Linked DNA regions of Arabidopsis thaliana. Each later gene encodes a partner of the first gene's protein in a complex. Each region holds a gene or a part of one and is shown in the gene's direction. Other genes may lie near its edges.

Region 1 (7,185 bases):
ATCTTGCCAAAAAAGTCACATGCCTGGCTATATCGAGGGCAAATCTTAGAACTTTGGCTGGAGAAAGACGACCTTTTTTTTGAAGATAGCTCCCAAGGTCCCCCTGCAAGTTACCACCAAGTGGACAACATTAGTTCCTACCATCCAAATATTGCTTAATGAGGGAAAAATCTTTTAAGGTGTAAAAAGAGGGAGAAGCTTACTTTAGGATGATACTCGGACACAATCATCATGGGGACATTTTGAGTAACAGCTCCAACAAATTGCACAACATTAGGATGACGTACCTTCTCGAATAAAGTAAGTTCGTGTTTGAAGGCATTTCTGTGGGTACATAATAAAAGTCAGATGAGAAGATTGCAGAACAAACGTAATATATGAAAAGAAAAACAAGGATTAACACAGAGGGAATGAAGTGGATTCCAGAAAATATTACTGGAAATGCACAATTCCAACATAGAAGATTCTATAAGAACTATGATTGAATAATGTTACAGCTCATATCATCATCACTATGAACATAACAAAGATGATTTCAACGATCTATAGCTTCACTCAAGAAGAAATTCAAACTCCTTCTTGACCTGTTAGCTAACATAGACATATTACTCACTGAAGAGAAGAGTAATCTTACATAGTGTCAGAATCCTTGTAGAGATCCTTATCAAGTATCTTTACAGAAACCTTAGTCCCATTCCATTTAGCCACTTGATATATTCCCTGGCAAGTGGAAAAGTGATGTAGTATCTTGTTAAAAATCTATAAATGGAAACTAAGACATTATTACAGGAAAGTAAAGCAAAGAGAGATCTTGCCTTTGAGATACCATCAGCTTTCCGAACTTGAAGTTCCTGCGGATTTAACTCGTACTCAGGAACTTCACGAGGATTCGCCACAACCATGGGTGTCCTTTTGGTTTTCTAAAACCAAGAAGAAAATGTAACTATAAACATATTAAGATATGAAAAGAACAGAGCTTGAATCAATGAAAAATGCAGCAACATACCGGAACTTTAGCTCCACGGGCTTTCAAAATGTTGAAAACATCCATGTTACCATAATACTTAGCATCAGCAGCTGCCTATCCACACAACACAAACATAATTTCAAAACCAAAAGCACAAAACCTAACCAATAAGAGACAACAATAGAAATTTATCACATTACCGTGCTTCCCCAACGATCACGAGCATCAATATTAGCCTTCCTAGTAAGAAGAAGCTTGACAACATCGACATGACCTTCACAAGCAGCGATATGAAGAGCCGTACGACCATCAAGATCGATACTATTAACATCAATACCTTCATCAAGCAGATCCTGAACACCTTCAACATCACCTCTACAAGCCACAAATAGAAGCTGCATAGTAGCGTCGAGATTATCCGGTACAGCAAGCTGCGGACCGTTAGAACCATCAGGACTCCGACGAATCGGATCTAAAGACGATTGTCGACCAAAACTAAATCGCATATTGTTCCGGCGAGGATCATGTGAAGCTTGACGCGTGAATTGACGACTAAGCGTACGACGAAGCGATCCAGTTGAGAATTGTCTCGAGATTCCTCGTTTTAGCTGTCCCACTACATTCGCCATGATTTCAAATCTCTTTCTCTTCTTCTCTCTTTCGTCTTCTTCTGCGAAAAAATCGAATGGATAATCACATTTTCTTTTTCTCGAGAAAATTGATCTGGTGATTATGTGAGATCCGTCTCTAGCGCGTTGCTTATCGAGAAATAATTAATTTTAATTTGACGGGTGAAGATATTATTGGCGACGTCTGTTTCCGATTGACTTTGATTTGACTTTTCCTTTCAATCATTATTTGGCGAGTCCCGCGTAAATATGGACTCTTCTTGATTGTCCACTTTTTTCGGTGGCTTTACCGGATTTAAAATCATTTTCTTTTCCTAAATTATGAATTTTACCCTAAACTTCTCATAATTACAATTAGTTCCGACGAACCCAAGATACTTTTTAGCAAAATTAGGAAAATAGTTGACTCGAAAAGGTTGTTATACGTGGAGCTGACGTGTTGGTCTTATCTACTCGAAGCCTTTTGGGCTTTTCTTAAAGCCATTGATTTCTAAGGTCGTCAACAACCGAACCGGACCGGACGGTTTGACCGGTCTAACCAACATATATACGTTCTTTTTCACTTGCCGTTTCGTCGTCGTCAGTCTTCTTCAGTAGCAAAAAACCTTCGGCTTCGTCTCGTCAATGGCGGCCATTTCTGTAAGTTCTTCACCATCTATTCGCTGCTTGAGATCGGCATGTTCCGATTCTTCTCCTGCTCTTGTATCCTCGACGCGTGTATCGTTCCCGGCGAAGATTTCATATCTCTCCGGTATATCTTCGCACCGTGGCGATGAAATGGGTAAGAGAATGGAAGGATTCGTTAGAAGCGTCGATGGGAAGATCTCTGATGCGTCTTTCTCCGAAGCTTCATCTGCGACTCCAAAATCGAAGTACTGTGAATAATATTTGCTTAAAGTCGTTTCCTTTTGGCCTTTGCTTTGATTGATTCTTTGTGCATTAAAATCAGGGTGAGGAAGCACACAATTTCAGTATTTGTTGGAGACGAAAGCGGAATGATTAATAGGATTGCAGGAGTGTTTGCAAGGAGAGGATACAATATTGAGAGTCTTGCTGTTGGTCTGAACAGAGACAAGGCTCTATTCACCATAGTTGTCTGTGGAACTGAAAGGGTACTTCAGCAGGTCATCGAGCAACTCCAGAAGCTCGTTAATGTTCTAAAGGTTGTTCTTTTGTTAGATCGCACTTATTAGTTTCTGCATGACTATAGTTTCATTCGCACCAACTTTACGCATCAGCCAATTTGCTTATTCATTATTTGAAGATTACATTTGCGATTTCCTTTTCCATTCTCTTCATTGACTTGGACATGAATTAGGTTGAAGATATCTCAAGTGAGCCGCAAGTGGAGCGTGAGCTGATGCTTGTAAAAGTGAATGCACATCCAGAATCCAGGGCAGAGGTACTATTCCTTGCCTATGGGAAATTAGAGTTTACTGTACTTGCTGGTTGCTTCTGATTTAGGGCAGAGGTGGTGTTAGTTTTCTCTCTAAATTTGATTAAGCTTCTGTTTTAATGAATTCACAGATCATGTGGCTAGTTGACACATTCAGAGCAAGAGTTGTAGATATAGCGGAACATGCATTGACTATCGAGGTACATCTACTTATTATGATTTGTGTTGGTCTTGATATTTGTTTCGCACTGTAGCCTGTGGGTTTCAGACTTCTGTTTGAACATCTTACTAATCGTTGGAAGACATCAGAAATATTATGGAGGGTATCATTTTAACTTTTATATCTATTAGTTGGATTTTCGTTGCCTTTTGAAACTGATGATGATCCACATGCAGGACTCTATTATAGGATGTGTATTAAAGTTTATTTGAAACTTTTGGTGCAACTTCTTGAATTTAATATAACGAGAAAGTTATTCAACAGTGTGCTACCTTTGATTACCCTATGCTTATAATCTGTATTCTGAGTTGTATTGCCTGTGCAAATTTCTGTGGGAATGCTCAGTGTTCACTTTTGAAAGTTAGAGAAGCATAACCTTAAATATATTGTTCTTTTTACCTTGATTATGAGAAAGTGGAGTAAAAAAAAGGGTGTCTCTGATTTACCTATTTTAGCTCTTTAGTAATCATTTTTAAGCTATTTTGCAGGTAACTGGAGATCCTGGAAAAATGATTGCTGTAGAAAGAAATTTGAAAAAGTTTCAGATCAGAGAGATTGTAAGGACAGGAAAGGTAGTGTATGTTTGGAATTACTAGATTTTATGGCTTTTGAATATCATCTAGTTTGTGCTATCTAATGTATGTATGTAGTAGTTACATCTTTGAGTGGACACAAAGGCATAGATCTCAGGGACTTTCACTAATTTAGGGAAAATGGAATGACATTTTTGGATAACAGATAGCACTGAGAAGGGAAAAGATGGGTGCAACTGCTCCATTTTGGCGATTTTCAGCAGCATCCTATCCAGATCTCAAGGAGCAAGCGCCTGTTAGTGTTCTTCGAAGTAGCAAAAAAGGAGCCATTGTCCCTCAAAAGGAAACATCAGCAGGGGTGTGTGCTTCTCTGCTCCTTAGATTGTTTAACTTCAGCTTGAAGTTCCTCACTTTCCTTTCAAAAAATTTGGTTGCATAAATTATAGTAGGTTTGGCTATTTGATAAAGTTAAACAGAACTATAGATGCCTGTGTTTTTTTCCCTCTATGTGGTGGCTGCCTGGAATCAACATTTGAAGCATGCCCTTTTTTGTTTTTCTCCCTGGCTGCACTGAAGGATTTCCGAGTTTGCTAATTTTTAAAAGTTATCTTATCTTTTTAAATGTAGGGAGATGTTTATCCCGTTGAGCCATTTTTTGACCCCAAGGTACATCGTATTCTCGACGCTCACTGGGGACTTCTCACTGACGAAGATGTAAGAGAGTTCTTTGCTATATATCTAACTTCGTGCCATGAATTTGCTAAAAAGCAATATGAAAAATTCAGATTGTGGTTTGCATTACACGAGTTACACTTGTTTTTCCATTCAAGCCGTCTGGCATAATCAATTCTGTTAATATAGTTACATAAATGATAAATCAATTGAGTGTTAGATTTGGAGACTGTATGTATTTACTTACAAAGCAGACATTGAAAGAGTTGGGGTTTTCTTTAAGCTATTTCGTTTTATTTATCACAGTTATTCTTTTTTGATCTTTCAGACGAGTGGACTACGGTCGCATACTCTATCATTGCTTGTAAATGATATTCCAGGAGTTCTTAATATTGTGACTGGTGTTTTCGCTCGAAGGGGATACAATATCCAGGCATAGTCCTTATCTCTCTCATACACGCACACACAGTGTGCTTAGGTTTACTGACACACTGAAAGATCTCCTTTCTTTTAGAGCTTGGCCGTAGGACATGCTGAAACCAAGGGCATTTCACGCATTACAACAGTTATACCTGCAACAGATGAATCGGTCAGCAAATTGGTGCAGCAACTTTACAAACTCGTAGATGTGCATGAGGTGGGATTACCAAAAGCTACTGTCTTTCTTATATATTTAACAGTTTGAATGTCTTGATGGCCCTATCATTCCTTTGCTGTCTTAGACCTTTTGGCTTTTTTTAAAACGTAGATTAGAGGAAGAGTTTCTGCTAAATCTTTCTGGACTTTCCTATATCATTTCCTGGTCTTGTCTGTTTACTCGAATGAGACCTCTTGTTCCAGAAAGTCAAACTGTACAGGCTTGATGAAAATAATTCTGAACATGATTTGCCGCAACTTTCCAAGCTGTTATTAACTTTGTGAGGATTTTCTGCAGGTCCATGATCTTACTCATTTGCCATTTTCTGAAAGAGAACTGATGCTGATTAAGATTGCCGTGAACGCTGCTGCTAGAAGAGATGTCCTGGACATTGCTAGTATTTTCAGGGCTAAAGCTGTTGACGTATCTGATCACACAATTACTTTGCAGGTAAAATACATTTCTCATAAATGGGATTTTTATGTAGCTGTTATTGCATCTCAGATGAGAAATCCTTTCAATTGGAGATCTTCAAAGTTTCACGTCTTTCCATAGGTCTTCAACTTGTTTGACATAATCAGAGTTCCGTTTGAAAAAAATATATGAAGCTGACTTGGATTTTCCATCTTAATCTCTATTTTTTTGCTTTTGTGTTTTGGATTTTGTGCTGAAATTTGTTGGCTGTGGGTATAGCTTACTGGGGATCTAGACAAGATGGTTGCACTGCAAAGGTTATTGGAGCCCTATGGTATATGTGAGGTTTGTTTCGCAATCTACTTTCATCTCTTAGTGAATGCATAACCCCGTGAATTCTTAATTTCTTATAATGATACTCCAATTGTTCGGATAAAGTCCCAAAATTTAGTTGTAGTCTTTACGACTTAGAAACAGAGTAGTGAAATCTAACTCTCTGGTAAAATCAATAACCAAAGCTGGACCTAGTTACATGAATCTTCTTCTGGTTGTGTGTAGAACAAGAATAAGCTTGACAAGCCATGACTACTTTCAGATTATGCATCGTGTTGACGCTTATTATGAACAATCAATCACAGGTTGCAAGAACCGGTCGTGTGGCATTGGCTCGTGAATCGGGAGTGGACTCCAAGTACCTTCGTGGATACTCCTTTCCTTTAACAGGCTAAACCGTTGCAGAGTGCATCCATCGAACATCAGAAACTTTTGAAGGTAAAAGTTTCATTACACAGTCTATGAACCAACTCAAAGACAGACAGAGAGACTGCGTAGATATATGTTTGTGACTTTGTTTATGAAACAATTAGCTGATTTTGGCTTCATTTCGATTCTTTTCTTTTTGAGATAAGAAAAGTTGTTAGGATTATTAATATTCGTTCGTCTTATTTTCCCAATATTTCCCAAGTTATTATTATGAGATGGCTAAAAGAGGAAACACAAATGGACTTTGTAAATGTTATAGTCTAGAGAGTCAAAAGTCAAACTAAGTAAGCGTTGACTGACCCGGACGTGTACCTAAAAATGACTCCTCTTCTACAAATTCGATTCTTACATTGGTAACTTCAATAACGATTACTCCTGACAAAAGTAATTCAATAATTGTGAGTCCAAATAAGATCCATACGACTCATATCATCATCTCTTAACCTTTTCAATAAATGTCACTTCTCTAAGAATATACTTTCAAGTTTCAAAAAATCTAACCATTTTCATGATTATTCTGTATTTAGAATCGGGGAAACTTAGATTTGGAAAAATACACTTTTGGAAAGAAAAAGTTGTGTTTCTCTTCGATATGCATATGTAAAAGAAAAAGTTTGAGAATTGCAATTATAGAGCCGACCATGTGCTTTTTATGCTTTACTCGTTTATTTTAATTTGTCTGTAGTGACTACAAAATTTTCGGGCACTATGAATGGATCGATCAATTTATTTATGCTTTATCGGCGGAAGATATAAATTATTCATTGAATCATAATTTTGTAATCTCCTTGTTTCTTAATTTATTTTGTACTAAGACAGTTCTCAATTTAACCACAGTTTATAACCGTAATTTTGTACTAAGATATAACTGTATTTTGTAGTTAGTGTAGAATTTTGTCTCTCCAGCTATAAAAAGCTAGAGTTAACTTTTGAGAATTTTTTACAACACTTTTCC
Region 2 (4,775 bases), on another chromosome or scaffold:
TATGCTTCCATGCTTTTTATCCTTTTTTGTCATGGAACCATGATTTGGTTACCATTTATTATGTAACCGAAATTTTCATTGTAATAATGAATATTTAAATTTTTAGCAAAAAAAAACAAAAAAAAACAAGGAGTCTTGTCTTCGTTCTCAAATTTCAGAGCTCTTGCACTTTTCAAGAGTTTTACTTTGATGAGTGAGACATTTGTCTTTTTAGTGTTTATTTTCTAAACTTAAAATAGTAGCATCAACATCACTCAATTATAATTCTTAAGATGTTGTAGAAAAATATTTTATAGATGGAAAGTAATCGATATTAAGACAAATAAGAAACCAAACCGGACTTTGTGTTCAGACCGAATCAAATCTGAATTGGAGAAATTATGGTGGAGGCGAAAGTCAACGGAACTAAAGTATAAAACCAAATGTCAAAAATAAAACCCAATTTTCATCCTTAAACGAACCTGCTGAAACCCTAATTTCGATTACCAATTCCGATCTAAAAAGAAGTCATGGAAGCCATTGATTCCGCAATCGATCCTCTCAGAGATTTCGCTAAGAGCAGTGTTCGTCTCGTCCAGCGCTGTCACAAACCCGATCGCAAGGGTAACGCCTTTTCTCAAAAAAATCTCATTTCCGATTTTTGATCTGTAGATTAGGGTTTTCTGAAATTTTGATATCATTTGTAATTGAATTGGTTATCAGAATTCACGAAAGTAGCTGTGCGTACGGCGATTGGATTTGTGGTGATGGGATTCGTTGGATTCTTCGTGAAGCTCGTTTTCATCCCAATCAACAACATCATCGTTGGATCTTCTTAGTGTAGTACTTTCTTTACGAGGTAATTGATCTCGCATTATATATCTACATTTTGGTTATGTTACTTGACATATAGTCATTGATTCAATAGTTCTGTTAATTCCTTTAAAGATCATTTTGACTAGACCACATTCTTGGTTCATTCCTCAATAATTTGTAATCATATTGGTGGATATAGAAGTAGATTGGTTATAGATCAGATAGTGGAAGACTTTAGGATGAATTTCAGCTAGTTTTTTTTTTTGGCTTATTGTCTCAAAAGATTAGTGCTTTGCTGTCTCCATTGCTTCTGCTATCGACACGCTTCTGTCTCCTTGTATCTTTATTATATCTATTCGTCCCATGAGTTTTGTTTGTTCTGTATTCGTTCGCTCTGGTGTCATGGATGGAGTCTCTGTTCCATGTTTCTGTAATGCATGTTGGGTTGTTTCATGCAAGAAATGCTGAGATAAACACTCATTTGTGAAAGTTTCTAAACTCTGAATCGCGCTACAGGCAATGCTCCGAGGAGTAGGAGGAGAAGAACGAACCAAACGACATTATCAGCCCTTTGAGGAAGCTCTTAGTTTTGTTATTGTTTTTGTAGCCAAATTCTCCATTCTTATTCCATTTTCACTTATCTCTTGTTCCTTATAGACCTTATAAGTTTTTTATTCATGTATACAAATTATATTGTCATCAAGAAGTATCTTTAAAATCTAAATCTCAAATCACCAGGACTATGTTTTTGTCCAATTCGTGGAACCAACTTGCAGCTTGTATCCATTCTCTTAACCAATAAAAAAAGAAAGAAAGATCAATTTGATAAATTTCTCAGCCACAAATTCTACATTTAGGTTTTAGCATATCGAAGGCTCAATCACAAATACAATAGATAGACTAGAGATTCCAGCGTCACGTGAGTTTTATCTATAAATAAAGGACCAAAAATCAAATCCCGAGGGCATTTTCGTAATCCAACATAAAACCCTTAAACTTCAAGTCTCATTTTTAAACAAATCATGTTCACAAGTCTCTTCTTCTTCTCTGTTTCTCTATCTCTTGCTCATCTTTCTCCTGAACCATGGCGGCGGCAACAACAACAACAACAACATCTTCTTCGATCTCCTTCTCCACCAAACCATCTCCTTCCTCCTCCAAATCACCATTACCAATCTCCAGATTCTCCCTCCCATTCTCCCTAAACCCCAACAAATCATCCTCCTCCTCCCGCCGCCGCGGTATCAAATCCAGCTCTCCCTCCTCCATCTCCGCCGTGCTCAACACAACCACCAATGTCACAACCACTCCCTCTCCAACCAAACCTACCAAACCCGAAACATTCATCTCCCGATTCGCTCCAGATCAACCCCGCAAAGGCGCTGATATCCTCGTCGAAGCTTTAGAACGTCAAGGCGTAGAAACCGTATTCGCTTACCCTGGAGGTGCATCAATGGAGATTCACCAAGCCTTAACCCGCTCTTCCTCAATCCGTAACGTCCTTCCTCGTCACGAACAAGGAGGTGTATTCGCAGCAGAAGGATACGCTCGATCCTCAGGTAAACCAGGTATCTGTATAGCCACTTCAGGTCCCGGAGCTACAAATCTCGTTAGCGGATTAGCCGATGCGTTGTTAGATAGTGTTCCTCTTGTAGCAATCACAGGACAAGTCCCTCGTCGTATGATTGGTACAGATGCGTTTCAAGAGACTCCGATTGTTGAGGTAACGCGTTCGATTACGAAGCATAACTATCTTGTGATGGATGTTGAAGATATCCCTAGGATTATTGAGGAAGCTTTCTTTTTAGCTACTTCTGGTAGACCTGGACCTGTTTTGGTTGATGTTCCTAAAGATATTCAACAACAGCTTGCGATTCCTAATTGGGAACAGGCTATGAGATTACCTGGTTATATGTCTAGGATGCCTAAACCTCCGGAAGATTCTCATTTGGAGCAGATTGTTAGGTTGATTTCTGAGTCTAAGAAGCCTGTGTTGTATGTTGGTGGTGGTTGTTTGAATTCTAGCGATGAATTGGGTAGGTTTGTTGAGCTTACGGGGATCCCTGTTGCGAGTACGTTGATGGGGCTGGGATCTTATCCTTGTGATGATGAGTTGTCGTTACATATGCTTGGAATGCATGGGACTGTGTATGCAAATTACGCTGTGGAGCATAGTGATTTGTTGTTGGCGTTTGGGGTAAGGTTTGATGATCGTGTCACGGGTAAGCTTGAGGCTTTTGCTAGTAGGGCTAAGATTGTTCATATTGATATTGACTCGGCTGAGATTGGGAAGAATAAGACTCCTCATGTGTCTGTGTGTGGTGATGTTAAGCTGGCTTTGCAAGGGATGAATAAGGTTCTTGAGAACCGAGCGGAGGAGCTTAAGCTTGATTTTGGAGTTTGGAGGAATGAGTTGAACGTACAGAAACAGAAGTTTCCGTTGAGCTTTAAGACGTTTGGGGAAGCTATTCCTCCACAGTATGCGATTAAGGTCCTTGATGAGTTGACTGATGGAAAAGCCATAATAAGTACTGGTGTCGGGCAACATCAAATGTGGGCGGCGCAGTTCTACAATTACAAGAAACCAAGGCAGTGGCTATCATCAGGAGGCCTTGGAGCTATGGGATTTGGACTTCCTGCTGCGATTGGAGCGTCTGTTGCTAACCCTGATGCGATAGTTGTGGATATTGACGGAGATGGAAGCTTTATAATGAATGTGCAAGAGCTAGCCACTATTCGTGTAGAGAATCTTCCAGTGAAGGTACTTTTATTAAACAACCAGCATCTTGGCATGGTTATGCAATGGGAAGATCGGTTCTACAAAGCTAACCGAGCTCACACATTTCTCGGGGATCCGGCTCAGGAGGACGAGATATTCCCGAACATGTTGCTGTTTGCAGCAGCTTGCGGGATTCCAGCGGCGAGGGTGACAAAGAAAGCAGATCTCCGAGAAGCTATTCAGACAATGCTGGATACACCAGGACCTTACCTGTTGGATGTGATTTGTCCGCACCAAGAACATGTGTTGCCGATGATCCCGAGTGGTGGCACTTTCAACGATGTCATAACGGAAGGAGATGGCCGGATTAAATACTGAGAGATGAAACCGGTGATTATCAGAACCTTTTATGGTCTTTGTATGCATATGGTAAAAAAACTTAGTTTGCAATTTCCTGTTTGTTTTGGTAATTTGAGTTTCTTTTAGTTGTTGATCTGCCTGCTTTTTGGTTTACGTCAGACTACTACTGCTGTTGTTGTTTGGTTTCCTTTCTTTCATTTTATAAATAAATAATCCGGTTCGGTTTACTCCTTGTGACTGGCTCAGTTTGGTTATTGCGAAATGCGAATGGTAAATTGAGTAATTGAAATTCGTTATTAGGGTTCTAAGCTGTTTTAACAGTCACTGGGTTAATATCTCTCGAATCTTGCATGGAAAATGCTCTTACCATTGGTTTTTAATTGAAATGTGCTCATATGGGCCGTGGTTTCCAAATTAAATAAAACTACGATGTCATCGAGAAGTAAAATCAACTGTGTCCACATTATCAGTTTTGTGTATACGATGAAATAGGGTAATTCAAAATCTAGCTTGATATGCCTTTTGGTTCATTTTAACCTTCTGTAAACATTTTTTCAGATTTTGAACAAGTAAATCCAAAAAAAAAAAAAAAAAAATCTCAACTCAACACTAAATTATTTTAATGTATAAAAGATGCTTAAAACATTTGGCTTAAAAGAAAGAAGCTAAAAACATAGAGAACTCTTGTAAATTGAAGTATGAAAATATACTGAATTGGGTATTATATGAATTTTTCTGATTTAGGATTCACATGATCCAAAAAGGAAATCCAGAAGCACTAATCAGACATTGGAAGTAGGAATATTTCAAAAAGTTTTTTTTTTTTAAGTAAGTGACAAAAGCTTTTAAAAAATAGAAAAGAAACTAGTATTAAAGTTGTAAATTTAATAAACAAAAGAAA

What was found.
Region 2: the proteins of AT2G31810 (region 1) and CSR1 are in contact, whole or in part, in a cryo-EM structure (PDB 6U9H), measured with the Arabidopsis thaliana proteins. Residues at the interface, in NP_850172.1 of Arabidopsis thaliana: Asp95 (codon at 2,580), Glu96 (codon at 2,583), Asn101 (codon at 2,598), Arg102 (codon at 2,601), Arg109 (codon at 2,622), Arg110 (codon at 2,625), Tyr112 (codon at 2,631), Arg137 (codon at 2,706), Gln141 (codon at 2,718), Glu144 (codon at 2,727), Gln145 (codon at 2,730), Gln147 (codon at 2,736), Lys148 (codon at 2,739), Leu149 (codon at 2,742), Val150 (codon at 2,745), Val152 (codon at 2,751), Leu153 (codon at 2,754); in NP_190425.1 of Arabidopsis thaliana: Arg216 (codon at 2,525), Ser217 (codon at 2,528), Lys220 (codon at 2,537), His221 (codon at 2,540), Asn222 (codon at 2,543), Tyr223 (codon at 2,546), Arg233 (codon at 2,576), Leu241 (codon at 2,600), Arg246 (codon at 2,615), Arg272 (codon at 2,693), Leu273 (codon at 2,696), Pro274 (codon at 2,699), Gly275 (codon at 2,702), Tyr276 (codon at 2,705), Arg279 (codon at 2,714), Asp397 (codon at 3,068), Ser398 (codon at 3,071), Ala399 (codon at 3,074), Glu400 (codon at 3,077), Gly402 (codon at 3,083), Lys403 (codon at 3,086), Asn404 (codon at 3,089), Lys405 (codon at 3,092), Thr406 (codon at 3,095).

Annotation. Positions count from the first base shown.
Region 1 is NC_003071.7:13,522,051-13,529,235, forward strand, and holds AT2G31810 (ACT domain-containing small subunit of acetolactate synthase protein), read left to right. Parts: upstream 1-1,997; 5' UTR 1,998-2,220; coding exon 2,221-2,468; intron 2,469-2,545; coding exon 2,546-2,759; intron 2,760-2,914; coding exon 2,915-2,998; intron 2,999-3,123; coding exon 3,124-3,192; intron 3,193-3,700; coding exon 3,701-3,784; intron 3,785-3,950; coding exon 3,951-4,103; intron 4,104-4,372; coding exon 4,373-4,459; intron 4,460-4,745; coding exon 4,746-4,850; coding exon of another isoform or gene 4,851-4,855; intron 4,856-4,931; coding exon 4,932-5,054; intron 5,055-5,351; coding exon 5,352-5,504; intron 5,505-5,747; coding exon 5,748-5,813; intron 5,814-6,106; coding exon 6,107-6,196; 3' UTR 6,197-6,662; downstream 6,663-7,185. Other genes in the region: AT2G31800 (Integrin-linked protein kinase family), read right to left, coding at 24-103, 204-324, 635-720, 816-920, 1,007-1,081, 1,168-1,596.
Region 2 is NC_003074.8:18,000,647-18,005,421, reverse strand, and holds CSR1 (chlorsulfuron/imidazolinone resistant 1), read left to right. Parts: upstream 1-1,672; 5' UTR 1,673-1,879; coding exon 1,880-3,892; 3' UTR 3,893-4,139; downstream 4,140-4,775. Other genes in the region: AT3G48570 (secE/sec61-gamma protein transport protein), read left to right, coding at 510-603, 703-818. UniProt on the Arabidopsis thaliana protein: Catalyzes the formation of acetolactate from pyruvate, the first step in valine and isoleucine biosynthesis.